Linked DNA regions of Tamandua tetradactyla. The protein of the gene in region 1 purifies or fractionates together with the protein of each later gene. This does not show direct contact. Links are inferred from orthologs where the notes say so. Each region holds a gene or a part of one and is shown in the gene's direction. Other genes may lie near its edges. The genes, in order: STAU1, TUBA1A, DDX21 and ELAVL1.

Evidence for each region.
Region 2: the proteins of STAU1 (region 1) and TUBA1A purify together in Homo sapiens (affinity purification with western blotting; 3 studies listed by BioGRID and IntAct, with this or other methods). This does not show direct contact. The link is inferred for Tamandua tetradactyla from reciprocal best matches to the Homo sapiens genes STAU1 and TUBA1A.
Region 3: the proteins of STAU1 (region 1) and DDX21 purify together in Homo sapiens (affinity purification with mass spectrometry; 4 studies listed by BioGRID and IntAct, with this or other methods). This does not show direct contact. The link is inferred for Tamandua tetradactyla from reciprocal best matches to the Homo sapiens genes STAU1 and DDX21.
Region 4: the proteins of STAU1 (region 1) and ELAVL1 purify together in Homo sapiens (affinity purification with mass spectrometry; 3 studies listed by BioGRID, with this or other methods). This does not show direct contact. The link is inferred for Tamandua tetradactyla from reciprocal best matches to the Homo sapiens genes STAU1 and ELAVL1.

What each region holds. Positions count from the first base shown.
Region 1 is NC_135327.1:3,468,915-3,476,924, forward strand, and holds the start of STAU1 (double-stranded RNA-binding protein Staufen homolog 1), read left to right. Parts: upstream 1-5,001; 5' UTR 5,002-5,118; intron 5,119-8,010. UniProt on the Homo sapiens protein: Binds double-stranded RNA (regardless of the sequence) and tubulin.
Region 2 is NC_135333.1:110,096,257-110,103,508, reverse strand, and holds the start of TUBA1A (tubulin alpha-1A chain), read left to right. Parts: upstream 1-4,230; 5' UTR 4,231-4,375; coding exon 4,376-4,378; exon of another isoform or gene 4,379-4,548; intron 4,549-6,285; coding exon 6,286-6,508; intron 6,509-6,646; coding exon 6,647-6,795; intron 6,796-7,159; coding exon 7,160-7,252. UniProt on the Homo sapiens protein: Tubulin is the major constituent of microtubules, a cylinder consisting of laterally associated linear protofilaments composed of alpha- and beta-tubulin heterodimers.
Region 3 is NC_135339.1:28,236,718-28,243,673, reverse strand, and holds the start of DDX21 (nucleolar RNA helicase 2), read left to right. Parts: upstream 1-3,949; 5' UTR 3,950-4,057; coding exon 4,058-4,144; exon of another isoform or gene 4,145-4,551; intron 4,552-5,942; coding exon 5,943-6,371; intron 6,372-6,956.
Region 4 is NC_135337.1:84,443,744-84,451,026, reverse strand, and holds the start of ELAVL1 (ELAV-like protein 1), read left to right. Parts: upstream 1-4,268; 5' UTR 4,269-4,370; intron 4,371-7,283. UniProt on the Homo sapiens protein: RNA-binding protein that binds to the 3'-UTR region of mRNAs and increases their stability.

The sequences.
Region 1 (8,010 bases):
TATTCAGCGTTTTGAGGAACCGCCAAACTGCCTTCCACAGCGGTTGCACCATTTGACATTCCCACCAACAGTGAATAAGTGCCTCTTTCTCCACATCCTCTCCAGCATTTGTCATTTCTGTTTTGTTGATAATGGCCATTGTGGAAGGGCAAGGTGCCCCGAATTGCTAAAAGTATCTTTTTTTTTTTTCAAAAAGCACTAATTATTATTCCACTTTATGAATGTCAGAGTTTATTTAGCTAGTCATAGACCAACAGACAATGGTATTAGTTTCAAACTTTTGCTTTTACAAACCAAGTTTCCATTAATAGCCTTGAATTCATACTGATATTTTAAAGAATCATTTGTTTTTCCCTTCCCTTGAACTGTCTGTTGCTCTCTCCTATCCATTTTTCTATTGGGTTGTTAATCTTTTGTTATTCATAGGAGCACTTTATACTTTATGAAATTTGCATTTTCTGTAATTGAGATGCAAATTCTTTCCTGTTTGTCATTTGTATTTTTACTTTTCAAGATTAAAAGTTTTTCACTTTCTTGAAGACAAATGTATCTTTTACTTTAAGGCTCCTGAGTTTTATGTTATAATTAAAATGTTCTTTTCCATTTCAAGATTATAAAAGAATTATCACAGAGATTCTTCAGGCAATATTACAGTTTCTTTCTTTCCTATTAAATCCTTGATCCATTCAGCATTTTTCCCTGGTGTAAGATATGAGATATGGATTTATCTTTACTTTTTTTCCCCAGAGGCTAGCTTGTGGTCCCAAACCATTTATTGAATACAATCCATCTTTTCCTCATGAATTTGAATACGTTAATGAATACTAAATTCCTATATGTTTGGGCCTATTTGGGATTTCTTTTCTCTTCCCTGATTTGCCTGTCTATTCAAGCATTAGTACCTAACTATTTCAATGAATAAGTGTTTATAACATGTTTAATATTTGGCTAGATATCTCAGAGAAAGTTCCTGGCTATTCTTTCTTGTTAGTTTTTCAAAAGAATTCAGACACAGCTTGTGTTAATCAGGGTTCTCTAGAGAAACAGAACCAACAGGAGATATCTGTAAATATGAGATTTATAAAGGCATCTCATGCAACTGTGAGAATGGACGAATCCAAAATCCATAGGGCAGGCTGTGAAGCTGGTGGCAACAATGAAGGGTTTGGACAGATTCCACAGGAGAGGCTCGCTGGCTGAAGAAGCCGTGAAGAAGTCTTCAACTGGTTGGACTACCTCATTGGTGGGAGACATGCCTGAGTTGATCTTGGTTGTAATCAGCCACTGATGCAATCAACAGACTGATGATTTAATACATCAGCCTTTGGGTTCATCAACCAGCCATGAAACATCCTTGTAGCCATGGACAGGCCGTTGCTTGCCTGACCAGACAACTGGGTACCATCACTTGGCCTAGATGACACCAGACCCTTACTATTATGTAATTCATCTAGTTTCAAAACAAAGTCCTACTTGCATTTTTATTGAGATCTCATTAAATGTCTTGATCCACTGATCATCTTAGGAATGCAGATTCTTCCCAGCCAAGAACGTTGCTTATATTTCTATGTAGTCAAGTCCTTTTCTGTATCTTTATGTAGATTTTAACATTTTCTTCACATAGCTTGTGCATATTTTTTGTAAAGTTTATTTCGAGGAATTTTTCTTTTATCCAATGCTCTGTAAATGGGATCTTCTATTTGACCTCCCATTATCAGGAGATTCTGAGATAGATTTAGTGGTGCAGTCTACCTGAAATGATCTTGAGAATTACTCACCTAGACTTGTTAGTAGTTCTCAGCCCTGGCTCCCGTTACAAGACATACCAAAGTGATCTGAGCTTCCGTCACAGTGATGGGAGTACACTGTTCTGCCTGTGTCAGGCTCTGGGTGAGAGACCAGGGACACTGTGACAACCAGGACACCTGGGTAACCCGCCCTCACGGAGGCTGACTGCCTGGTCTTAGATAAGCAGAGATACTCAGTGAATAATTAACTGAATAAATACAAGGGTACAAAGAGTTCTGCTACACGGTATGAAAGTTGAGTGGAGAGAATTCATTAGGTGTTAACACCTATTAACATGTGCAGGGAAGGCTTCAATTACCTCCCATGTGCTACTGACTCACACCTTTGTGTCTCCAGCAGACTCTTCCTCTGAGCTCCAGATCTGCCACTGCCACTGCCCCTTGAACGTCTCCAGGGCATATCAAAATGCCAAAAAAAAAAAAGCTTATCTTCTAGAAAACTAAAAGTCATTCTTGATTCTTCCATTTCCCTTCCCACTGCAATCTGATCCACCCCCCATCCAGTACATTTTTCTGAATAACTGTTGCCTACATCCATTTCTCTCCCATGCCCACCAACCCCTGAAGCCGGGCTCTTCTCCTCAGTCACTTGGACAACTGCAGCAACCACCTACCTGAGCCCCCAGTTGAAACTTCTTCCAGTGTGCTCCACAGACTAGCTGGAGGGATCTTTAAAGAACTCAAATCTGAACATTTACTTCCTCTCTAAAACCCTCCAATATCTTCCCATTGCATTTAACACAAAGACAGAACTCCTTAACAAGGCCTATAAGCAAGGCGCAGCCTGGCCTTTGCCAGATCTCCAGTCTCACCTTGAATCACACTCCAATCTGCTTTCCGAGTGGCCACCAAACTGGCCTTAAAAATGGCTGAGGAGATTGTATTTTCCAAAACTCACTTCAACAGTGTCTCATTCCTACAAGTTGCCCACGATCTCAGCCATAGTCCATTGGGAGGTGGAATCTAATTTTCTTACCCTGGGGTCTGGACAGGATTGTGTCTTGCTTGCAGCCACTAACGTACATTGAAGTGGCTCTGTGTGACGCCCAAGGCTGGTTCACAAAAGACAACGCAGCTCTGCCTTGCTCACTGGGAAACTTACTCTTAAAGCCTTTTGTTGCCACATAAGCAATCTGACCGCCCTGAAGCTGCCATGCTGTGAAGTCCAAACTCGCCAAGGCAGAGAGACTACCGGGACAGGCCCTGAGTCTACATGAAAACAGAGATGCCCAGCCAGCCCCCCAGGTGCTCCATCCCCCACTGTTCCAGCTCCAGGCACCACCTGACTGCAACCACAGAAATTCTCAGTTAGGACTGTTCAGCTAAGCCCTTCTGATTTCTGGTCCACAGAATCTTGGCTAGCTAATAAAATGATTGATACTCTTATTAAGCAATCAAGTTTGAGAGTGATTTCTTTCACACCAATAATAACTACAGTATGTGCCATATGCTGACCCACCCCTGGACTTACTGTATGCTTTCCCCTGTCCTTGGGAACACTTCCTGCACCCCATATGTTGAATGACTACTTACTTATTCTTCAAGTTTTTACTAAAGCTACGGTGCTTCAGGGTTATTTTCCCTAAACCATGAAACGAGGTCAGATCCCCCATGAAATGCCCTCATAACATCATGTACAGTTCATTCCTACATGCATCATTGCATTTGGAGATTATTTGACCGATGACTGCTTTCAGAGTCTTCAGCTCTGTGGACCAGATTCAGCTCATGCACTTACACAGTAGGCAAGACATTGCAAACTCAAATGCCAACAGGGAAGTAACATAAATGAGCGACATGGGCAGGGTGGGCACCGTGCTGTAATGCAAAGAACATGTCCATCTATAGGGTGTAGCTGCCACTCAGCAGGCTCTCTGCAACCTGATCTGTTTCATTATTAAAGCAACAATGCAAACCTAGATAACCACGTGATTGTTAGAATAATTGCAACTAATCCAAACAACAAACAAAAAAAGAAATAGAAAACAACAACCACCTGGAGATTTAACATCCTTCATTTCGCTAAGTATTCCAAACTTTCGGAATGTACGGCCAAGATATAGGTTAGCTGTAGGGCTGGCCGGGGTTCAGGAGAGGGTTCCTTAGATTAGCTTTTCTCTGGCCTAGACGCCATCCATCACATTCTCTTCCAAGGGCCTCAAGACCTTCTGACTCTTACCAAGTAACTAAGGTTTTCTTTGGGAGGAAGATGGAAGTAAGAAACTGTGATCATTAAGTATGTTACACTAAATTCTGTGTTGTTCTACCCAGAAGATAAATTGTGTCTGTAAAAAGGAATGGGGACATACAAAGTTCATAAAAGCCTATGAAAAGTCATAAAAATCACAAAAGTCTAAAAATTACACTTCTTGTTTCTGGAATGTTCCGCCCTCACACGTTCGGCGGGCTCAGGTCTCGCTCCGACGTCTCCCCGGAAGGGCCCGCCCGCCCGTCCCCGTCGGTCACCTCGTCCTCTCCGTTTTCTTCACAGCACTTGCGGCCCTCTCAGGGCGTCTTGTTTGCTTGCGCGGCTGCGGTTTCTGCCTGTCTCCCCTCCTTTTGGGCAAGGCATTTATCGATCTGAACCCTTTGTATAGACTACGGAGTTTATTTACTTATTGCGTGTTTTATCCCCACTAGAATGCAAGTTCCATGAGGGCAGGGGTCTTTCTGTTTGGTCACCATGCTTTCCGCTCTCACAGTGACGCCTGCTCAGACACACTTACGAAAGGAAGAAGGGGGGGAAGGAGGGTGGGAGGGAGGCCGGAAAGGAGGCCGGAAGGGAGGGAGAACCGGAAGGGCGGAAGGACCGCCCACTTTCCCAGGTACACCTCGCGCGGGCCTGCAGTCCGGGACCCCAACTCCCAGCAGGCCCAGGGGCCCAGGGCGGGCCGCGGCGTGCCACGCCGACTCGGCCCCAGTCCGCCAGGTTCCCGGCGCGCCCCGCGAGCTCAGGCGCCGCCGGAGCGCCCGCCGGGACTTGTGGTTCCGGCCACGGGTGGGGGTGGGGCCGGGCATGGAGGCGGGCGGGGGCCGAGGGCGGGCGCCGGCCCCTCCCCCGTCACTTCCTGCCAGGCTGCGGGCGCCCAGCGGCTCCTCAGCGTTTGCGCCCGCGGCCGCCGCGTCTCTCTGGTTTCCCCCTTCCCCTCACGTCCCGGCCGGGCGGCGCCCGCCCCCTCCACGGCCACTCCGCCTTTTCCCTCCCGCCGTCCCCTCTTCCTCTCCCCACTTCCTTCCTCCTGCCCCTTCTCGACGTCGCCGCCGCCACCCAGGCCTGTCGGCCGGGGGACGAACTCGGGGCAGCAGCCAGGTGAGGCGGCTGGGCCCGGCCTGGCCGGCCCGCGCGGGGCCGTGGGCGCGGGGCGGCGGGCGGCGGGTGGGGCCTAGGCCTCGGCGAGCCGCGCGCGGGGTCGCCGTCCCCGGGCCTCTGTCCGCCGGCGGGGCCTTCCCCAGGGAGGCGGGTCCTGCCGAGACCCCCGGTCAGGGCGCCCGGCGGCCTTGCTGCTGCCCTCCCCCACCCCCTCCACCCCCTGCTGGGGCCACAAACAGGTGCCACGACCGCCTTTCCGCGCTCGGAGCCGCCGAAGTTATTCCCGGGCCAGGGGCCGGGGGAGCGGGTAGGGGCGCGGCTCGGAACTCCGGAGCCCCGGAGCCCCGGAACAGCCCGGTGCCCCCAACCCGGCTCTGGAACGTGGTGACTGCGAGCACTGCTCAGGTGTTCACCGTGGGCATAGATCCTCGCCCTGCCTTCTTGGGCGAGTCGCTGAAACTCTTTGGGCTTCTTTGGAAAAGGGGCTCACAAGGTCCCGCTGCTAAGGTTCAGTGAGCCGGGGCGTGTGAAGCCCTCATCAGAGCTTCAGACCCTCCGCGGGTCCCGGTAAGCCGCCTGCATCTTTTATTAGCGTGGTATTAAGGTGTAATTGAATGGGTAGAGCGGACAGAAGTTGACCCGCCTTCCAGTTTGCGTTTCCTTAGAGGCAGGGATGTTGAGCGTGCCCACCAGCAGCTCCAGGACATTGTTTTGGGTTGTTAATGTCTGAAAGGGGCGAACGCTGGAATGGGACACCTTGGAGCAGCCGTCTGTAAAAGGTAGATGTTGTATGTCCGTCTCCTCCGCTTGACCGACGGCAGGGTTCCCACCAGCTCCCTCACTGCGAGCAACCGGTCCTTTTCTTCTTCCGTTGTTGGACTTCTTGTTATTCCATTTTCTGGGAAACTTGCTGGCAGAAGCTTCCCTTGAGTTCGGCAAACGTTTTTGGAGCACCTGATGTGTGTCGGGCTCTGGAAGGGGATTGTACGAAGATGGAAAAAATAAGTCCTTTCTTGCTCTCCATCTATACTTCCTAACTTTTTTTGCACTGCAGCTTTGCTTTTATTCCCTGCGTCCCCGTTGGCAGACTTTCATTTTCAGCTCTTGCTCCTTCCGTGTGTTACAGTTTTGCTTGTGTGGAAGTTTTCTCCCGATCCCGCAGAAATGCGTGTTTCAGTCTGTTCTGCCACTCCTCTTTGACTCTAGGGACGTTTTTAAGATCACTCTTCCCTTCTCCTTGTGACTTTGATTAGAAGGCGGTGGAAAGAGTTAAACTAGGTTTTCCGTGGATTTTGGCCTTTCAGAAATCAGTGTGCTTACCAAATGTAAGTTACGTTGCTACTTGTTGAGTTAAAAACTAAAAATACAGTTGGATTATAGAGGGAGCAGTTTCAATCATCCTGGCAACAGGTGGGATTTTTAGAACAGTTTTATTCATCATGCTGATTTTCTTTTAATTCTGTACTTAGTTGTATATTGCACCCTTCATTAAGGAATTGAAACTCCTGAAAGTTCAAATTTACAGGAATTAGAAATAGCATGTGTTTGTTATACTGAATGGGTTCTTTTAGGCAGCGAATTTCTTTAGTAAACTTAAAATGTTTTTATAACCATCCCACAATAATACAACAATGCAAAGTATCCTCTCTGTTCTCGGCATTTTCCTAGAATTTTCTGACATAAAGTCTTACCATCATTTTTACTTTAAATCTTGTTATGGCTCTTTAGAAACACTTAAAAAACACCTATACAGACAATACAAAGCATGTCTTCTGCCATATTGTGAATTGAAGTGCTAGAGAAGTGATGCTTAATGCTGCTGTAGATAACTTCAAGTTGTCATAGAACAACTGTTTATTATGGAAACCTACAAAAGTTGGTTAGAGAACCGCCATGTATTGGTCACTCATCTTTGACAATTATTAACTCATAGCTAAAGTCAATCTTGTTTCCTGTTTCCCACAAACTGGATTATTTTGAAACAGAACTCAAACATCATATCATAACTTTAGCGATTTTGACTTTTATCAGAATGCCTCAGTGTGTTAATTTGTCACAAAATCTACTTTCAGCAGGATCATAGTTCTAAATTTTGTTTGTTGGGGTGCCCGTCTCTGTTTACATACGAGTACAATGGAAAAAAAATTAGCTTCAAGATTAGTTATTGATCCAGTGCTTTCTCCCCTCAAAGTAAAATCCAAAAATACTTCCTTGTTTTTTTTGTGTGTGCAAAAACAACAGTTCTTTCGCTGCTGATGGCTGTAACTGGAAAGCAATCAGAAATACAGATTTCCTGAACCCTGTTCCGGTGAAGATGTACCTGTTAAGCCACTTTTAATGGAGAATAATTTTTCAATGGAGAATAATTTTTCATCAAAGTTAAACACAGTTAATAATTCATAATGAAAACTTTCAAAGTTTTTTTTGTTTTTATAGCAGTTGTGTAAGTATGCCGATATCACTTGAAGGTATGAATTAAGCCTAAGTATTTAATTTCAAAAGCCACTGTTTAAGAATTGTTTTGGCAAGGCCTTCCTCATCTGCTGTGTTTACAAACAGCAAGTTCAGTCTGAATGAAATGTTAAATTTGGTGATTAGTATGAAATCACAACATAGGTGTTCATATTTTCTTTCTTGTCTAAAAAAGAGATCTTTCCTAGAGTTGAATGGAAGTTAACAGAAATATTTAAATGTTTGTCATTGTTACTTAATTTTCTAAGTTCTGATCATGAACAGTTTCCAGTCTTAGACCTGAAACATTGTTATTTTGATTTTATAGGTTTACTTTTACGCTTGATCAAGTACATTGGAAATGTTATATGTTATGTTTTAGTCATTACACCCTGGGAGATAGGGAGGGATATGCCTTTTAAATCTAAGAAAAATAAAGCA
Region 2 (7,252 bases), on another chromosome or scaffold:
AACTAATTGTGCTGTTGTGCCTGGAAATTTATAGCTTTTTTGTATATATGTTATTGTTCACAAAAAAAGAAGGAAAAAAAATGTCGATTGTGATGATAAAAAAGTATTTAAGCCCGCTAGCCTCCTATATTCTGGAGCAGCTAGAAGGAAAAATATGAGAGTATCATATGGTAGCCCATGACAGACTCTGGGATCAATCCTGTAACCACTTTTTTGAAGAGTGCTTTGAAAACTATTGCTGTTTTATTTCTTTGCTTTGTGTATATGTTATATACTATACAATAAAAAAAGTTAAAAAAAAAAAAAAAACTAACTAATCCACAGCCATTGCACTGCTTTAAGCAGTGAAGTGACATGATCAAATATGTACTTTAATAAGATCACTGTGGCTGCTGGTGGGTGGGGGGTCTAGAAGTGAGAGGTGAATGTGCAGAAAATCTTCTAGGAGGTTACTGAAGTGACATGATCAAATATGTACTTTAATAAGATCACTGTGGCTGCTGGTGGGTGGGGGGTCTAGAAGTGAGAGGTGAATGTGCAGAAAATCTTCTAGGAGTTTACTGAGGTTATCCAGGCAAGAAAGGATGCACTAAATGGAAGCAATAAAGGCAGAGAGAAAAGAATACAATTTGAGAGTTATTTAATAGATAGACTTGACAGGGCTTAATGACAGATTCTGTGGTATTCATAAAAAGAGATGGAGGGGTCAAGAATAATTCTCAGGTTTCTATTTTTGAGAGATGGGGTGTATGCTGCTCCATTTACTGAGCAAGAGAACCTTGTAAGAAGTGCCTGTTTGGGAAGAAGACCACTAGTTTAGTTTAAGATATCTGTGAAATATCAAGCTAGAGGTTGGAAGTTTACTATATGATCTGGAGCTAAGAAGAGATGCTGAGAAATCATCAACATAAAAAAAGCATTTGATACCTTGAGAGTGAATGTGTTTATTCTAGGAATGTATGGGATCATCTATGGAACATGGAATAAAATGAAGAAAAGGCTAGAGTTGAACATTTAGAAATGTCAACATTTAAAGTTTAGAAAAAGGAGGTGGTACCAGTAAAGACAGCCAAAGATGTAGGAGGGAAACCAGGAAAACGCAGATGAAAGGAAGAAAATGTCTCAAGAAAGAGAAAATAGTTAATAGAAGCAAAGTTTATCAGAAGTCAACAAGAACAAAAATTTGTGCAGCGGATTTAACAACAAAAGTGGAGGACATTTGGTTTCAAGGGGAAATTGGAGCAGAATTCAGGTGGGAATGGATTTAGGTATGAACAGGAGGTGAAGAAATAGAAGAAAATGTGTTAGACAACTCTCTTGTTTCCTACATAAGTTATGATATATGGGACCTTGCAATGGAGTCTACAAATGTTCCATCACCCTACACATACAAAAGCATGTCAGTCTCAAGCCAATACACATGTACATGTCTTACTTCTTCAACTCGACTGGAAAATTTTTTTCCATTTTTCTAGGGAAAAATGTCTATGCAACTACTTCTGAATTCCCCACACTGGTGCTCACTGTAGATTCTCATAAATAGGTGTTGAATATAAAATGTAACATACTCTATTAAGACCTTTAAATTATTCACCACGATAATAGTAAATGAAATATGCACAGAGAGAAGCTGTCCATTTAATTATTTAATTCAAAGAATATGTAATTAATGTCTACTTATGCTAGACACTTTCCTAGGGACTAGGACTCACATTTTAATGGAGGAAAGGTACAGACATGCAAATAAATAAAACAAAATTCCACAAATACCTCAAAAGAGCAATATTTTATACTAATCTTACTATGTACAGGAACAAATCTATAACAGATTACTTTTACACGTAAACTGATGTCAGGAACTGGCAGTAAAAATAAGACGTGAACTAATAAAAAACATACTTTTTGCGTGCTATTAAGTCAGATAATGAGGAACAAAAAGAACAAATTAATTACTTCCCCATGCTGTTGCATTTTTATATTTAATAGATTACCAGTTGTCAAATAGTGTATTTCTGACCTATATCTTATTGTTACTTATGCCCAAGAGAAAAAAAAACACCTCATTTACATAAGACACAGAATGGCTCTGAGATAGAATTACAAAGAATCAGCTGCAGGAACCTCCTCTCTTTTATTCAATCTTCCGTAAACCGTATAAAGAACTGAGACTAATGCAGAAATGATATATTTCTTAACCTTTTCTATTGTAAAGAAAATAAAATTCAAGGCTGTGCCTCTCATTCCAAAAGGAAACTTATTCATTTTACCATAGTCTCGCCCTGTCTTATATCTTTCATCATTTAGATTTTGAAAGAAATGCGTAACTTATAAGTCTTTATGCTCCCCTCTACCATTTAATTCTTATTTTTGGTGGTTAAATGTAATTCTGGGTTCAGAAAGAAGCATATGGGATTCAAGCCATCCTTAATCCTTTCTCTTTATTGAAATATACTTTTATTTGCTAACGGGATAGAGATAAAATTATGTTGAGCAACATTTTCCTATGAAATATGTAAAAAGTAGATAAAATGACTTGTGTGCTGGGTTTTTTTGTTTTTGTTTTTGTTTTTAAGAGACGACTAGAACAAGTAAAACAGAGCTGTAGATGGTAGGTTGGGAAAATTCATGGCCGCCACTGACACACCACAACCTGCAGCAGCTGTCTCCTCTAGGCCCTCCCTCCTATAACCTGCTCTGCCTACCAGACAGGCAGGAATGAATGTGTTCTGCACAGCACTGTAAATGATGCTGCAGACCTTGAAAATCTGTTACCTAAAGGAAACATTATCTGCCTAAATACAGTTTTCCAACTTTAGTGGCAAAAAATAACCTCTTAAATTATGAAATTTCATCAGCCAAGTCAGGTTGGTACTCAGGCCAGAGACTTACTCTGCACTGCCCATCCTTGTTGATAATGGAAACTTTCTAAATAGCAAAAGAATGTTACTGTAATCCATTTCGTGGGGGGCGAATGCAAAGCCTTTTTTGTCCCCAGTGGGCAACTGAGCAACAACCAGAGCTTCTGGTTGAATAGCAACCGTGTGAGACTGATTGCAATTCCCACAGTTAGAAGCCAAATGCAGAAGAGGGTATTTATTGAACTCACATAAGAACTACATAAAAAAGAAATGCAGTTGTTGAGCTGACATTACAAAACAGTGAATGGAGGTAACACTTCAAGATGGTCTTCTCTTTACGTTACATATCTCCTCTTTTTAATTTGGTGTCTCAGTTATTATTTTTGCTTATTACGTTCCAAAAAAGAGAACAATGCAGAAATATAACCACACACACAGGTAGTTTAGCTTCTGAACTCAATTCTTTCTCCTTGTATTTTTTCAATTCTATATCAGGACAATGATTCATTTCTAGGGACAATATGCCACACAAAAAACATTACATAGATTTCTGGTAAAAGACTATTTCCAGTAGATTATTTCACTATTTATGTTAAATTCCAAATACTGCCAAGTTAACACTATTGTGCGCTGCCTTGTTAGTATGGTCATTCTTTCCTCCTTCATTTTTGTTCAGCTATGGGGGAAGGGGTGGAAACGAAGGTTTGAAAATAAAATACTTTCACCCAAGAAACCATTTGGAATGGCTCTATTACTGAATATTTTTAAAATGAAAAAAAAAAAACCCAGTTTACTGAAGCCATTTTAAGCATCACTCCCATCCTCTCTCCTACTTAATTTTTTTAAAAAAAACAAAAACAAAAACTTTGATTAGGGAACTTGTAGGTTTACCAAAAAAATCATGCACAAAAACACTGTATTCCCATATTCTCCTCCTTCCTTTTAAAAGCAATTAGGGATATTGAATCTTCGTTGAATATAGTCGATCTTAGTATACTATCAAGGAGAGATTGGGATTAATTTTCCATTAAATATTTCATCTCACATTCTGTGATTAAGTGTAGGAAAAAAAAAACCTCTATATGGTTGATTTTAACTGTAGCTTGACTGTGAAATATAAAATCATTCAACCCCACTCCTCTTTCCTCCCATTTCCCCCCGACCCCACCCCATCATGGATACACGGTTGACTCCTTTTCCTTGGTCTCTTTGTCTGAAGGATGCAAACAGTCTATGGATGCTGGGGGGAAACGGGTGGGGGAGAGATTACCTCATCCCATGTCGCTTGCACCAATCACCACTCTCTTGTTGTGGCTTCTCTGGGCAGACTGAGGGGTCTGGACCAACAGGAAAAGGCCCCGGTCCATTCCCATGGTGACCGAGTTGTATATAGGGAGCCGCATTCGCCCATGTGCCGTAGGTTCTCTTACATCGACCGCCTAAGAGTCGCGCTGTAAGAAGCAACAACCTCTCCTCCTCGTCTCCGCCATCTGTTCTGCAGCCGCCAAGGAGTAACCATGGTAAGTATCTATTTTCTCCGGCCCTCTGCGGCAGTTTGGTAAGATCAGATCTCCATTCTACTCGGAAAACCTTAAACTATTTTCCTTCGCAATCTCTTTGCTTTGTTTAAGAGGTTTAGCTCTAAGGCTGGCTGTCGCAGTGCCGGTGGGGGAGCCAAGCAAGAACTGCGCCCACAGCGCAGAGAAGGATGGGGGGGGGGGGGGAACAAAGGCGACGGGGAGGGAGCTTTTGTCACCCGAGCCCTACAGTACCGCAAACGGGCGAAATGCCGAGGCCTTCTGTCGAAGATGAAAAGGTCTGGGGCCGGAAAAAGGCGATCGTGGCGTCGCCTGCTTGTATGTCGGTGAATGTGCTCTTTTCTTTGTCGCTTCGTATTCCAGGAACAGGGAGGGGAGTTGTCTGAAAAGCAAAATTTTCAATTAATGCAAAAAGGTCTCTCGCGGATTCGTTGGTATACTAGGCAGACCCCCGAATAGTAACGGGATAAAATTGTTAGTTTCTGTTGGATCCCACCGCCGGCGGCGTAAGCGTGGCGCAGGGGCGGAGTTGTTTGTTTCTTGCTTCTCTAGCGTTGCAGCCACTGGGCGGGGTTCGCCCTCGTAAAAGGAGAAGACTTCTAACAAAAACTTTTAATCATTGCGAAACTGTAGGCGTTAAAAGGTTTTTCATTCACTGTTAAAACTTAGATGAAATATATTTTTCTTAAAAAGCAAAATCACAGTTCACTTTTGACAAGACCTTAAGTGTCTGGTCTGGGGATGCCGACGTGTGTGTGTCTGTGTGTCTGCGTGCGTCCGTCCTTCTGGGCTACGTTCACCGAGGGAGAAAGGCACTTTGTGAGCCAGGGCACTATAAGGCCAGAACTCAGGGAAACGCCCTTCCCCACCCCCACCCCCATACTAGACAATGAATAGACAATGAAAGTTGTCTTAAAGACATAGAGAAGAAAATCTACGGAATGTGATGAGTATGAAATATTCTGTAGTGGGTAGAGAATCTCAGAATTAAAATATTTTGTTGTTTTAAATAAATATTTCATTATCGTCTCACTGGGTTTTTATCCTTTGTTTGGTAGCTTCTCTTGTGTTACTTGTTTCCAATTTAGGAACTGCTGTTTTAAACATAATTTTTCAGGTTTTTTAAACTGGAGAAGATTCTGGAAAAAGCATTTTTTTAAGTAACTAAATTTCTGCAGACAAAGAAGACTGGATTATACTCTGAATCCAGATGTCTTTTGTTCTAGTGCCTTTTCATTAATTCATTTCAATTCGGGCACATTGGTCCCAGGCTGGGTCAGAGAAGGAAAACTGGCAAAACAGCACAATGAGATCATGTAGGCGGTTGCTGAAAATAGAGCTTGCTCTGTTAAATAATGTAGCAGACAGTACAAGTTAGCACCAGCACAGCAAATGCAGCAATGCAGCAATGCCAGGAGACTTTGTTTAGCTTCTCATCTCCTAGTATCCATGAATTCTGCAGATAGACTGCAGATGGGTGTGGCAGTTAGCCCCAGCTGCAGTGCAGATGTCAATGTTAGACATCAAGTCTCATTTAGGCAAAACCCTAATCTTTATTAGAAGGGGAAGGAAGCAGTGAATTCCAGTTAATTTAGCATTTAATTTAATTTACTTCATTTTACTAAGTCTATACTTCGTGTATTTTTAAATAAGAAAAATCTTTACTCAAGCATGACTGTGGGAACAATGGGTTTGTACCATGTGCTAAACAGGCACATTATCATTTGGACCACACCCATCTGCCGCAGTTGTAGCAGGTGCTTTTTCTTACTTATTTCTGTTATGTTAGGGATAAGACCTCAAAACTTTTTGAAGAATACCTGTATACTGAAAATTCAAAATGCTAATACAGCTTAACTTCACATTTTTTTCTTTTTCCCTTTGCACAGCGTGAGTGCATCTCCATCCATGTCGGCCAGGCTGGTGTCCAGATTGGCAATGCCTGCTGGGAGCTCTACTGCCTGGAACACGGCATCCAGCCCGATGGCCAGATGCCAAGTGACAAGACCATTGGCGGAGGAGATGACTCCTTCAACACCTTCTTCAGTGAGACAGGCGCCGGCAAGCATGTGCCCAGGGCAGTGTTTGTAGATCTGGAACCCACAGTCATTGGTGAGTGGAAGTCAGTAACCTGAGTGAGATTGCAGGGGTCTGGGACAGGTCTGTCCTGGACGCTCCATTTATGCCCCAGGGTTAAGTAGGCTTGTGCAGGTTGTTAATGATGGGTTGCGCTTTGCTTTCCTTTTCCAGATGAAGTCCGCACTGGCACCTACCGCCAGCTCTTCCACCCTGAGCAGCTCATCACAGGCAAGGAAGATGCTGCCAATAACTATGCCCGCGGGCACTACACCATTGGCAAGGAGATCATTGACCTGGTTCTGGACAGAATTCGCAAACTGGTATGTGTTTCTTCTCAAGAATACAGTAAAGTAATGAACCTAAGGAAGACATCTGAAATAAATGTTTTTTTCAAACACAACATTGAAATATAATAAAGAGATGAATTATTCCTTTAGGTTTTTTAAAAAACCCAGTTAAAACATGAATGATATGGTATCATTTTAAAAATATTAATGAAGATTTTTTAAATTAATAAATCCTGAGTAATTTCCTGAGTAATTTTAATTTCTACATTTAAAAAATGTTTATTGTCAAAGTAATATCTATATACTTGGAGATGTATGAAGAATGAAAATACATTTACTGTGCGTGTATCACAAAGAACAATAACTATCTTTTCCCTATTCTTCTCTTTTCTAACAGGCTGACCAGTGCACAGGTCTTCAGGGCTTCTTGGTTTTCCATAGCTTTGGTGGGGGAACCGGTTCTGGGTTCACCTCCCTGCTGATGGAACGT
Region 3 (6,956 bases), on another chromosome or scaffold:
GAGTGGAACAATTTGGTATAAGACAACAAGAGTATAATTAGTAGGCTTGATGAGTTCAGGCAGTCAAGGAACTGAGAAGCAGGTTTTATATGTGTGGTTTTCCCAAACAGTGATGTCTCTTAGTTTGAAAGCCAGGCCTGAGGAGGGAGAGGAAGAGCCAGGTACCAAACTATTGATGGTGTGGAGGTTGGTAAATTGCTAGAATGAGGAAGATTATAGGATATTACCACGTATCTTCAGAGAAGCAAGGGCTTTTACATGAAAGTGAAGGAGTAATCTAGAAATGGCTTTGAGGAAAAGAGGACACTGACTTGAAGGTTCATGGTATGCAAAGGAACCAGCAACTTTTGTGTGAGAAAACTGCAGGGAACAGTTTTTTTTTTTTTCCCCTTAACATGGGGAGGCACCGGGAATTGAACCCAGGTCTCTGGCATGGCAGGCAAGAACTCCACCACTGAGCCCAGTTTGCCCATCCTGCAGTGGGTGTGGGGGGGGGGTAGTATTTTCCAGGAAGAGCCAGATTTCAGTTAAAGCAAGGAGAGTTGAAGAACTTTGTGTGATGGATTGAGGAAGGAAGTTTTGATTATGAGGAATAGAGTTCCAGATGACCATGACTGATGGGAAGATCTCAGTTGGCTCTGCATTTGAGTAGTTGTGAACTCTGAATTTATATCCAAGATAAATTAGAGGTTCAGTTCCTATAAAGGTGAATGAGTACCAGTACATTCAGTCAGAATATGTTAGGCACCTACAATATCCCAGACACTATACTTTGGGCCCAAGGAAAGCCAGGTCTCTATCCTCAGGAGCTCAGAATCTTGTGAAATAGATGGACACATAAGCCTAGGTAAACAACAGTGAACTAAGTGTAGTTAAGTGCTCTGTGCAAGGGCACTGAGCCCAGCCCAGCAATGGGGTTGGGGGTTCAGAGGAAGCTTTTTGGATATAATGACTGAATATGAATGAAGTCAGGTAAAAGAAACAGGGATGTGGGGATGGGCATCCAGGCAAAGGCAAAGAAAAGCTAATAAAACAATAAAGTCTAAGTATGGGGAACCATGAGTAGTTCTTGCTGCTGAGATCTTCACTGTTAGGAAAGCATTGGTGAGAACAAGGCTAGAGTCATATCTTGGGGCATTTTGCAGGCCTTGTTTTGAAGAGCCACTGGAGGCTTTTAGGGAAGAGATTAAAAAATTAGTAAGCATTAAGATAAATGACAGCAAGGTAGAGGGTGGTCTTAAGGCTGACTTCTTTATTAGCCTACTCTCAGGCAAGGAAGTGGGGTGGATCCTAATAAGATTAAATAATAGCTTCCCATATTTCTGAAAAGGCAGGGCAAGTTCTCATGAAATTCTTAGCCTTGGGTTACTCAGTGATTTATCCTTACTCTACTTCTCCCTCTTCGAGCCCAGCGCCTTCATGGCTTTCCCTTTTAGCTATTCAGAGTCTCCAGTGTGGTGCTGTGCTCTAGTGTGGTTAGTTAACTACTTGAACTTGAATCAGTTACCCACAGCTTTGGTTTTTGAATTTGTAAATGAAATAATATGTTTTATTCCTTCAGCATTACAAGTTTGAATAATGAATTCACATTTAGGTGTAACTGTCAGCCTTTTCTGTTTTTTACATATTTGGGGTTGGGAGAAGCTGCTTAATAGTTTTTTTTTTTTTTTTTTACCATATTTTTTTCCTTATTAGTAATACATGTCCATTGTTGAAAATTTGAAAAAAGAGAAACAAATGGAAGAAAATAAAACACTCATAATTAACATCCCTCAGAGAAAAGTAGTGCTAACATTTTGTTGCATAGACTTTTGAATTCCTTCGGTGTGCATTTATGTATGTATATGTACATTTTAAAATAGAAATTCTCTCCCTAATCTTATGAAAACATGTTACCTCATGGAGATCAGAGGAAACTGGTCCAGAGAGTTGATACTTAAACAGGACTTCACAATACCTATCAAGGCCCAATTTTTTCCACTTATTACGGATTTTATACTGATGACTTGATTTCAGTATAATTATTTGGCCATCTTTGAGCCAAAAGGGACTTTTTTGTGTGTTTCCTCTTGGAATGCTGGGCTCTGCCTGTGTGCAGATACGTTCGTTACAAAGGATATTTTATAAACCTGACAACAGTTTTCCATTTAGTAGTTTGTTCTGGGTTTTTTCCTCCTATTGAAAATGTGTTAATAATAAACATGTCCTTATACAGTTTCAGCAGTATCATGAACAGCAGTATCACATGGTTTTGTGGTTTCTCAACCAAATTGCAGATTCCCTGAAGTAGGGACACGGTCTTAACATCTATAACCCAGAGTCCACAGTATGTGCTGAAATTCCAGATGAAAAGCATTTTGTTAGTTAGTTGATTGGTGGAATCCATTCATGCTTCCTTCCCCTTCTATCACACACAACAATCAGAATGACTGACATGCTCTCCTGCCTGGACTTATATCTAAAATTTATTTTGAGGGTGTTTTTGCTTTTCATGATTGCTATTTGAATGATAAACAAACATTTGCGTGACAGCCTCCTATTTATGTGCCAGGCTGAAATACTGAGGATACAAAGATGGATAAATAAATGAAGGCTCCTGGCTCAAGGATATCACAAAGTGTAAGTTAAAGCATTGTTGCACATGTACATAACTTTATCTTTTAAAAAGAATGAGACTGTGAAACACAGAACAGTAATAGCTTAAATATGAAAAATTTCCATAAGTTTTCCATAAAACTATTAGTTTAAAAATGTCCAGGGTGGGCCATGGTGGCTCAGCAGGCGGAGTTCTCACCTGCCATGCCAAAGACCCGGGGTTCAATTCCCTGTGGCCACCCATGCAAAAAAAAAAAAAATCACAAAAATAAAATGTACAGTAAAAATTAATCTCATGAAATATAGAGATAAAACTTTATTTTTTCCTTTGTCATAAAAGGCAGTATTTTTAATTGTCCAAACACTTGTGACACATCAGTGAGTTGCAAATTTCTTTTATTGTGCCTTATGTGCTAGGTAACGCCAAACCCTTTACATTCATGACATTAAATTTTCTCAACAAATGAGTTAGGTTTGTTATCTCTATATCATGAGAAACTCAGGCTCATATTCTGTAACGTGTCCAAAATCACCGAGCTATTTTTAATGGAATCGGCAGGTTTCAAAGCCTTTCTTGTAGAATTCCATCACATTCTCTTAAAAGACCATGATGCATTTTCTTCCAATTCTTTGTATCACCAGTTCTTCAGATAAAGTTTAAGTGACCGTCACGGATGGGCCACTTTTTCTCAACTGCTTGGATTATATCTTGTCGAGATCATGCAAGACAGGGAGTCCCTATTATTTTCTGATGTAGGCCTACGTGATTTGGGTGCCCCATCTAGTGTTCCCAAGCCCAGTTTAGGTGCCTTTTTGTACCTTCAGAACAAATGCCACTCGTCCTCTCTCCCACCAGTCTATAAAGCTTCCCCAAGAAAAGGTTAGTGTAATATCTCCTACCGAATCCTAGCACTGTTCTCCGACGCAAAGTGAATACTCAGAGATTGTGCGCTGAATATATGAGCACACACATGAACAACCGGACCCGACTGAATTCGGGTGCTTACCGAGACTCGTCAGTTTGGGCATCACCTTTCAGGTAGAAATATAAGAAGTTCAAAAAAACACATCTCGCGCGTCTGTACGCGAAAGGGCTTTGCACACTCGAGCAATCTAATACAAACACCGAAGAGGCGCCACTCATTTATCGGCTGGGGCTTACGAGAATCTGGCACGATAATACAAAGCTAACCTTTGTGGTCCTTTTCAGTTCTACCCTTTGGCAGGTGCCTTGTAGTCCAGGCGCTGTAAATGGAAATGGTTCATTCGCTAATCACAGGCTACGTCAGCAGCCGGAGCGTTGAGACACGCATGGGCCTCGCCTGCTTTGTACGTCCTGCTTCCGCCGGAAATGTCTTGATACGGGAAGTGACGAAAACTGGGTGGGCTAAAGAGGCAGTTCTATCTTTTCCTCTCCACGCGGTTGCCGAGTTTGGCTGGTCTACGCAGGTTCTGTTGAGTGATGCCGGGAAAACTCCTTAGTGACGTCGGCTTGGAATCAAATACGGCCATGGGAAAAAAGGAGACACAACGAAAGCAAAATGAGAAGGTGCCACGGAGGGCTGAGGGATCGGGGGCGAGGCAGGGAGAGGGACCGGGATGCTGAGGGGAGCGGGGCCCTGGAGTACGGGAGAGGAGGTACCCGGGCTGGGAGAGCGTGGCGCGCGGCGAGGAGACGGGGCGTGTAGTTTCGCCAAGAGGCTCTCGAGGGTGGTGGTCTCCAAGGGCAGTTCGTCGCTCTCGGAACTCTGGCTCTCTTCGGCAAGGCGCTGGGACCTCTGGCAACAAGGCCGGGGCAGATCCGATCTGGGGAACGGCAGATCGGGTGTCCCACGTGGTCTCCGGAGTCTGGGCCCCGTGCATGTGGTACGCAGAGTTGGACATTCACATTTGGCCCTTAGGTTGCCGGCTCAGATTTAACGACGGGCGTGAGCGTGGGCGGTGGTGTATCAAAGTCAGTAGAGGAAGTAGGGACTGACGTCTTAACTAAAGAAATACTAACCCTATTTGAGCACGTGGGGAGAGATTTTTAGAGGGCGGGCAAATGCTGGCGGCGTCTGCAGTAAGAGAAGTAGTTTGTCTTCTGGTGAGCAGCCCTTTGAAGAAGAAATAATTCAACTCCTCCTAATATTTACCGATCTAATTTGCTATGGAAATGTGACGAGAAGGGCTGTGGTGCTACCTGTACACTATTTTTTATATGGGCCAGTAGTATGTGAATTACCTTGACAACCGGGTACTTCTTTGATGCTGAATCCTATACCCACTTGAGTTTCTCTTCTGAGATGAGGTCAGTGAAAACACCAATTGTCCCTGAATTTGCTTTGTATTTGACTTACAATTTCCTTTCCTAGCTGTTTCTGTATCTTCCTGATGGGAGAGCATTTGGTATTGTGGGAAGCAGACAGAGTACAAATTTGTCCCCACAGATGGGGATGTAGTGGTTCTGGTTTACTTGTTTGAATCAGTTTGTGCGCTTAGGGAATTCTCAGATTAAGAGGAACCTCTTTGATTCCCGGCCCAGGCACTCCAAAAAAAAAAAAAAAAAAAAAAAATCAACAAATGGTGCTGCAGTAACGGAATATTCACATGGAAAAGAATGAAATGTGACCCCCACCCACAACATACCAAAAAAAAAAAAAAAAAGGAACATAATTAAACTTTCCCAAAGAGACCCATCTATTTGGTAGAACCAGGGAATGAAAAGTGGAGCAAAGTCTTGGGGAGAGACCAACTTTTTCCTCTGTTTATTAGAAGGGTGGTCACGTGGGAGAGAGGTTATCCATAGTCTGTGATTCTAAAACTGAGAACTGACGTTTCAGGAAGGTAAATTTCACTCTGATAGTTTCTGAACTTCCAGGGATTTGCTTGGGGCTCTGCCCAGGTTCTAACAGGTATAGCCTGTCCAACTAATTGTAATAAGTTTTCAGTAATCTGAAAAGTTGAATAGGGTCAGAAGTTTCAGGTAGGACCTCTAGCCGTATGTCTGGTTTGGTTTGGTGGTTTCACCCCTTCCATTTCCTTTTAACTTGTGCATCTGTGGTTTGCTGCTACTGTTGTTGAATTAAAGTATATCATTTTTACACATTGGCTGTGGGTCTTTATAGCTTTTTGGTTCATAAAATGTTTCTATGTAAATTCATTTGAGCTTGTGTGAGAGGTAAAGCAAATATTATTCTTGTTTTGCTTGAGGTGGAATTCTAGTAGGTACAAAAAGAAGGAATCTGTGTGACAGCATCCATTTGTGTACATACAACCCTATCGGTATTAATTTTGAACTGTGCTTGATCACTTTCTATAGTATTTAGTTTATTTCTTTTTTGTATTTTTTAAAAATTATTTTTTAGAAAGATAAAAAAGAGAAGTCAAAATCTGATAAGACGAAAGGATCAGCAGAAGAAAAGGAGGCTATGTCCCCCAAAGCAAAAAAAGTTAAAAAGGCAGGACCTTCTGACGTTGATATGAATTCTCCTAAATCCACAAAGGTAACAAAGAAGAAAGAGGAGCTATCTGAAAAAGACATTATTTCTCCTAAAATTAAAAATGGGAAAAAGAAAAAGGAGGCCTCTGAAAACAAAATTGTTTCTCCTAAAGTAAAAAAAATGAGTGAGGAACCTTCTGAAGAAGAAATAGGTGTTCCTAAGCCCAAGAAGATAAAGAAAGATAAAGAAATGAATGGAGAAATTGGAAAGAAAAGCTGTAAGCTGAATGGCTTTCCCCATTCTGGACTTGAGTCTAGTGAAGCTGGAAGTGAAGAAAGTAAGGAGTTAGAACAGGTAAAGTTGCACTGTTAAGGGGTAGAATGTATTTCTTTGTTTCAAAATGCAAAGCAATACCTACGAATACTATTTAATATGTGGGGTGGGAATTTGATGTGTCGGCATTTCATGAGTGGGGGCTGGGGTGGGCACCCTGACTTATCTCAGTTTATTAAATTGCATTGAGTTGGAATGCTTCCTCTGCAATGAGTAGATCTGTTTAAGCTTAGGGAAAGTCTTACAATCCTTGGTCTGCTGCTTATTTGCAAGTCAGTAAATCAATTGGAGAGGTATAGTTATGCAGGCAGGACTAGCTTCCCTCTAAGGGGTTTTGCCAAGTCATGATTAAGTGGAACTACAGAAAAGGTGTTGATTGATTGCATAAAAATCTTTTTGTTCAGACCATTAATTAACTTGAGTTGAATAGTATGAGTGAAGTTCTGCCTACTTGGAAGCTACTTTTATCTTTCAAAAACTTGGTAATCAAAATAAATTTAAATTCTGTTAAGTAATTTTTTACTTGCAGCAAGATCTTAATTTTTCCCCTCAATTATTAAAAATATTCTTGATATTCTCACAAGCAGTGGGGACAACAAAAGCAAT
Region 4 (7,283 bases), on another chromosome or scaffold:
ATATGTTCTAATAATGTCCTTTTGGACCTTTTTACCTCCATATTGTGCTTAACTGTCATTTTCTCTTTGGTCTCTCTCTCTTCCTATCTCTTTTTTAAATGTGGTAACATATATACATCATAAAATTTCCCACCTCAATCACTCCCAAGCTATTCAATTCCCAATGCTGTGCTACCATCACTACCTTCCAATAGGAAAACTTCTCTATCTACCCAAGCAGAAACCCTGCACTCATTATATTTCATGCAATTTTCACAGGTCACAAAATATTATTCTTGTTTTGATTTTTTTCAACCATTAAAAGACGGTAAAAACAACACTCAGCTAGTGGGCTGTACAAAAATAGGTGGTGGGGGGCAGGCCTCGGTGGCTCAGTGGCAGAGTTCTCGTCTGCCATGCTGGAGACCCGAGTTTGATTCCTGGAGCCTGCCCATACAAAAAACAAACAAACAAAAAAAGGCAGTGGGCTAAATTGGTTTATAGTTTGCCAACTCTAGGACTTCGGGATAAAATCCCAACGGCTCTGCCTACCCCCTCAGGTCTCTTTGCAACAACATCCGGACATTGGTCCAATTTCATCTGGCCATCCTTTTCCTTCACCACCTGTATCCCAGCACCTCCCACAACTCACTTTTCAAGAGCAGGGACCTAGGCCGAAGCATCTTTGTGTCTCCTGACCTCACAGACCTTCAATAGCTTGTGCTTAAGGAACAGACCAGGACTTAGAGGGAAAGCAAGAACAACATGGAAACATAGTGACTTGAGTGTACTCCTCAGGTACTTAGGGTATTCCTCGAGTACTTCCTACTGTAAGAAGGAAAACTACACTTCTTACAGAAAAAAAAGAAAAAGGAAAAAAGAAAGCAAGAACTTCCTCTCAAATTCAAACCACAGAAAAAAGGATCTCTGTGACTAGGCAGACCTGAGTTCAAATCCTGACTCTGTCACTCTGTGCACTAGATTATGTGTACTCATGCAAGTCACTTCTGGTTTTGCTCTTAGGACTGAGTCTCAACTTACAATGGTCAACGAGGCCCCGTGCAGCCCACCTCTGCCAATCCCATGAGTCCTTCTCCTGTCCGTGTATTCTATGTGTGCCAGCCTCCAGCCTGCCTCAGGGCCTTTGTACTTGCTGTTCTTTCTGCCTGAAGTATTCTGCTTCCTCTTTGCTTGGTAACTCACCCTTCATGACTAAGCTGAAACACCAATGACATGGGAAGCCTTCCTTAGCCATCCTAAAACAAAGTCAAGTCCTCCAGTTATATGCTTTGCTGATGGCCCAAACCTCTGTTAGATTATAATTAGTTGTGCAATTTATTATAATAAGATATAATAAGCACATTATGCCAGATCTTGTTCTAGAGATTCTAAATGGGTTATTTCACCTAACTCTCACAGCACCTTCAGGAAAATTATAATCATCCCCATTTTATAGATGGGGAAATTGAAGCTCAGAAAGACAAAATAATTTGTCCAAAGTTGCACAGTTAATATACGTTGGAGCTCTGCTCTTAAACCAGTCTCTGTAAGCTGACTCAAAGTTCTGTGAGGGTAGATGCCATGTCTGTGTGGTCACTGTTGTATGCCTAGGGCTAGCACCTGCAACTAATGCTAATGTGACATGCCAGTAGCAACAAGTACACCTAGTAATTAGATTTTGGTATCTAAAACCATTTCCAATAAATGGAACCTGGGATCCTTGAAGAAATGGCTGATTCAAGAACCAGGGCAGGAAAGAGACAAGGTGAGCCCAGAACTTCTTGCTGTTCCAGGGAGTAAGAAAATGCTCTAAAACAATAATGCACAAAAACACACCGTTGGGGGTATGGCAGAGCTCCCAATGGCCAAAGCCAGTACAACGTAAGCAACAAAATAAAGTTGTTTTGAGTATTAACCCAAAGCATAAAATAAATATTCACAAGTCCCTAGTGATCTAATTAAATGTTTGACTAAATTAATACAGGGTGGAGAAGAGAGGAATCTCCCATGCAGAAGAATTCCAAACAATTTATATGGATACTCCACCCTGAAGGAGGGGGAGCATACTGCCCCATTCCTTAAATATGGGTTGTGCTCAATGCCTTCCTTCCAAAGACACAATAAGGAAAGGCTGGGGGAAAAGTAACCTCACAGTGGAGAAACTCAACAGAAGCTACCTCAGCCAGGTAGCATCAAGGCCAACATCCACAGTCAAAAATAACACTAACAGCATGTCCTCTTGATAAGATGATGAGAAGGGCATTTTACTTCAGTGTTTTTCCTTCTAAGAACCTGTAATCACGTTCTTATGAGAAACACATCAGACAAATCCCAGGAGAAGGATGTCCTACAGAACACCTGACCAGTGCCCCTCAAAAGAGTCAAGACTGTCAAAAACAAGGAGAGGTTGAGAAACTACCTTGGCCTAAAGGAGACTAAAGAGACGTGGTAACTACATGTTATGCAGAGTCCTTGATGGGATCCCAGGACAGAAAAAGGACATTAGGGAGAAACTAAGGAAATGTGAATAAGTCTGGACCTTAGTTAATGAGAACAGGTCAATATTGGTTCATTAATTGTAACAAACGTATCTAAGTAATCTAAGCTGGTTCTAATAGGGGAAACTAGGTGTGGGGCATATGGGAACTCTACTATCCTCACAGTTTTCTTGGAAAGCTAAAACTGTTCTAAAAAATAAAGTCTATTGCTACTACTACTAAAAAAGTATTGCTATATAACCAAAGGGCTTCATCATTCATCATGGTGACAATGACTTCAAGGATTACCTGGGAGGACGTGCATAAAGCATTTAACACAGTATGCACTCAACACTGAGGGCTTGCTTCTGCCATACTAAACTTAGGCTATCTGCTGCAGGAACTATTCCCCTATGTGGCTATGTATATTTAAATTCATTAAAATAAAATGCAATTAAAAATTCAGTTCCTCAATGGCACTGGACACATGTCAGACACCCAAAAGCCACATGAAGTTACTGGTGACTGAATTAGACAGTGCAAATGTAAAACAGGCCCATTATTCCAGATGGCTCTACAGGACACTGCACTAAACAATGAATAGCATAATTATTTGTCCATTGTCCTCAGCTCCTTCAAGTTCTTCCTCCAGTGCCATCTCCTCAATATGAGGCCTTTCCAAGCACCCTCTTTTAAAATGCAACCCCTGTACTCCCCATCACCCTTCTTCAGTTTGCTTTTCTCCTTACCACTTTTCACCACTGAATGTGGAATCCACTTGATTGGTTTCTTTTCTCCCCCTGGGTCTACACTGGCAACGTGTGCCTCTTGAGTTCTTGAAATGTGGCCAGTTGGACTTGAGAAGTGCTGAGACAGATTTTAAAGACGTGGGGGAACAAAAAAGAATTTTAAAAGGTCTCGTAATTTTTTATATTATTCTACGTTGAAATAATAATGTTTTGGACATCTCGGGTTAAATAAACATTATTAAAATTCATTTCACCTATTTTTCCTTTTAAATTTTTGAACGTAGCTACTAGAACACTTAAATGACACGTGGCTGGCATTTGTAGTTGGCTTATATTTCTATGGGCAGCGCTGATACAGAATGCCAACTACAAGAACATTTAAAATTACGTTCGTGGCTCACATCTGGCTTTTCTGGACAGCGCTCGTCTAGAACGTCAGCCTAATGAGGGCAGGATTTCTTGTCTGATCACTGCCCCTACAGTGACTTGCACACAGTAGGCGCTCAATAAAGTTTTATTGAGTGAATGTTAGACTGAGCCTCTGGGAGCTCACCAGGTCCTGACCAGGTCCAAGGCCCGCCTCCTCACCTCATCAGATAAGGAAACTGAGGCCCGGCGAGGTGACGTCAGCCCCTGTCCAATAGTACGTACCGCGGAAACGTCTGGGCCGGGATTCGAACCCGCGTCCAGTCCCCTGTAGTCTGGAGTGGTGACTCTTCCTACCTGGCAGGGCGGCGGCAGCGGGGCAGACAAGCTCGGGCCACAAGGCAGGGATTCGACAAGGATCCCTTTTCTCTTTCTCTGCCGACCGGGACTTCCGTGGGCCCGGGCCTTAGCTCTCCCCTTCGCGGCCATCGCGGGCCACCGAGTATCACCGCAGGCGGCACCGGCAGGAAGTCCCGCCTCCCCCGCGCGCCTTGAGCACCGCGACAGCTGCACTGGCCAATAGGAAGAGCGCCGTGGCAGGCGCCGGCCAATGGGCGCGCGCGCCTGGGGGGCGTGTCCGGGCCGCGGGCCGGAGCGGGTCGTGCGCGCTGAGGAAGAGCCGCCGCCGCCGCCGCCGTCGCCGCCGCCGCCGCTACCGAGGCCGAGCGGAGCCGTTAGCGCCGAGCCGCCGCCTCCCGCCCGCCCCGGAGCAGCCCCGGGCCCGTCCGCCCGCGTCCAGGTGAGATGGGAGCCTTCGGCGGCGCCCGGCGATGTAGGCCGCGCCAGGCCTGAGCTCTCCTGACCGGGCCGCGGGCGCCCGCGGGCCTGCACCGGCCGAGGGCCAGGCCGCGCCAGGCCGGGAGGGGACGCGCACGGGCCGCGGGCGAGTGGGGTCCGGCGGGTGTGAGCGCCGGCGACAGGCCCAGGGCCGGATTCCTCGGCCGTCGCGAGGGTGGGCGAGGGGGACACGGCGTGGGCGCGCGCCTGGCGGCTGGGGCAAGCGCTCGGCCCCAAGGCCCCGGCGGGCTTGGAAGCCCGGGATCCGGGGGCGGGAGCGTGAAGCCAGAGACCCGGGAGTGGGGTGAGCGTCAACTGCGCCTAGAGGTCACGGCCCGCGAGCTCGCTCCCCCGGGAAATCCTACAGATTCTTTTGTGGACTGCGACCGATCCGGAGTCCTTTTCGAAGTGTGCAAACCCGTTAGTATGTATGGGAGTCCTAGAAAAATATTTATTTTTGGGCGCCATCTCTAACAAAGCTGTTCACGGGGCGTGGGACGTTAAGATTTGTAAAATGTGTGTGTGTTGAAAACACAAACAGCACGCAATTGAACAATGGGGGATGGATGCTTTTCTTTCCTTTTCCGGTGTTTTTTGCTAGGTTTGTTAAAATGGGTTCTGATACCTGCTGGATATATGGCGGGTGGGAGAGAACTTTGCATGTGCTGCCCCTGGAGAGACACAGCCCCTACCTTACTAAAAGTATTCAGGTAGGAGCCCGATGGCCAATGCTCTAGAAGTGGGAACACAAGGAAGATGATGGGACTAGAAAAGGGTTGCCTAACCTCAGAACTACTGACAATTTGGGCGGGATAAGTCTTGGTTGTGGGGGCTGTCCTGTGAATTCTAGGATGTTTAGTAGCCTCCATGGCCTCTTCTCTCCAGATGCCAGCAGCATTTCCTCTTCCTACTCCCCCACCCTACCCTAAGCATGAAGATCAAAAATGTCTCCAGACATTGCCAAAAGTCCTCAGGGGGTGCAAAATCGCCCCCGCCCCCAGAATGAGAACCACTGGACTAGATGAACTTTCACTAAGAGGCCCCCAGTCTCCATTCTTCACTCTGTCTCCCCAGGATCCAAGGCTCCTGAGACCATGGACAAACTCAATTATTGGAGCCTTAGCTTACTTCTCTGTGAAATGGAAAGGCTGAGAGTATTAAGGTGTGGATTTAAGTCAATTATTTGGTAATCTATTGTGCATGGCCTTTGCATGGTGGGCACTTAATAAATGATGTTGTAAATAATCTCCAGTATTTATTGAGAACTTATTTTTGCTTAACATTGCACAGACATCTCCAACCCTTGATTGCTGTTATAATTTCCATTTTACAAACAAAAAAAAAATGAGCAGAGGTGGGACACTTGATAATGGCCAAACTCACACAGTAAAGTGGCCAAGTTGGGACTTTAACTTGGGCCCTCTGACTCAAAAGGCCCCATTCTTAACCACAGGGTTTTACTGCTCTTATCATCTCAGCAGCCCAGGAGACCCAGAGAGACAGTGTTTCAAGGAATTCCATTCAGTTATCATTGAGCACTCCCTGTGTGCTGGATTCTATTATAAAATTCTGCCACCTCAAGGTCCACAAAAAGGCTGAGATATATGAATGTCTCAAAATGTGGAAGGAAAAAATGTTTATGTTGAAGCCCTAGCTTGGGAGGTAGGCAGAATTCCATTTTAGTTGTGTTGATTCTGAGGTCACAGGGCAGCAAGTAGAAAATGAGAGGAGAATTAGGAAAGTGCTCTTTCTGCTGTTCGCTCTATTGTCTCTCACTCAGGCCATGTTTCCTGCTTCCTGTCTCTATCCTCTGTCCACAATCCAGCAAGGATTGTCTTTTTAAAACAAGGATCTGATCATGACACTCCTGATTAAAAGTCCTTGGGTGGGGAAGAAACAGTTGAACTTTTTGAGTGGCTTGCAAGATGAAGTCAAAAGTCCTCAGCTTGGGGCTCCAGGTCTTTCATACTCTAATGCTCTCTTCCTTTCTGACCTCATCTAAACTCTGGCCCTCTCTGTTGCTCCCACTTCCTGAATGCTGTTCTCTTCCACCTGGAGATCTCTTCCTTATGCTGCATAGCCCAGCTCAGAGCTCACTCACGGCTTGAAGCCTTCTCCAACTCCCACCCTTCCTCCACCTCCACCAGAATTAACTGTTCCCTCACTTGTGCCCCCATCCCATTCAATTTTCATTTGAATCCAATTAAATGCTAGTGAGAGAAGTGCAGTTACACTATTTCACCCCTAGATGGCAATAGTGAAGCAGTAAGGCCTTGGGACAGGGGAAGACCCAAGGAAACCAGCCTGTAAAAGGGAAGTGAGTTTTGCTTCCCTCCTCAGCTAACTCCCCCTGATCTGCTGTTGTGTCCCAGGCTTGTCAGTGGAATATACAGGGTGTATGGAGATCATTTCAGTCCGCTCTGGTGAGTGCAGTGATAAATTATGCACTGGCTTCAGGGAAGCACAGAAAAGGGCACTGTTAACCAAGACTTGGTGGGCAGAAGAGATGGCAGAGACCTTCTGGAGGAGGCAAGGTGTGAGGGCTGGGGTGGAGTTAACCAGAATCCTTCCACAATGGGGAAGGGTTTTGATGGATGCAGGAACAGCATGAGGAAAGACACGGAGATGGGAATATCTCAGTTTCTTCAGGGAACCTGGGGTTTGGTGCTTGAGGGGCAGGTAAGAAGGGTGGAAGCCAGTAGAGGCAAGGTGAGTGGGATGAGTCAGGCCCAGTTGTGAAGGGCTTCACATCTGTCTGTTGTATAAAGAGTTCTCCTTAAGGCTGGGCCAGGAATGGCTATTGAATAGTTTTAGTCCACAAAGTGGGGAAGTCACATTTGCACACAGAAGGAAGAGATGGGGAGGGGGTGATAAA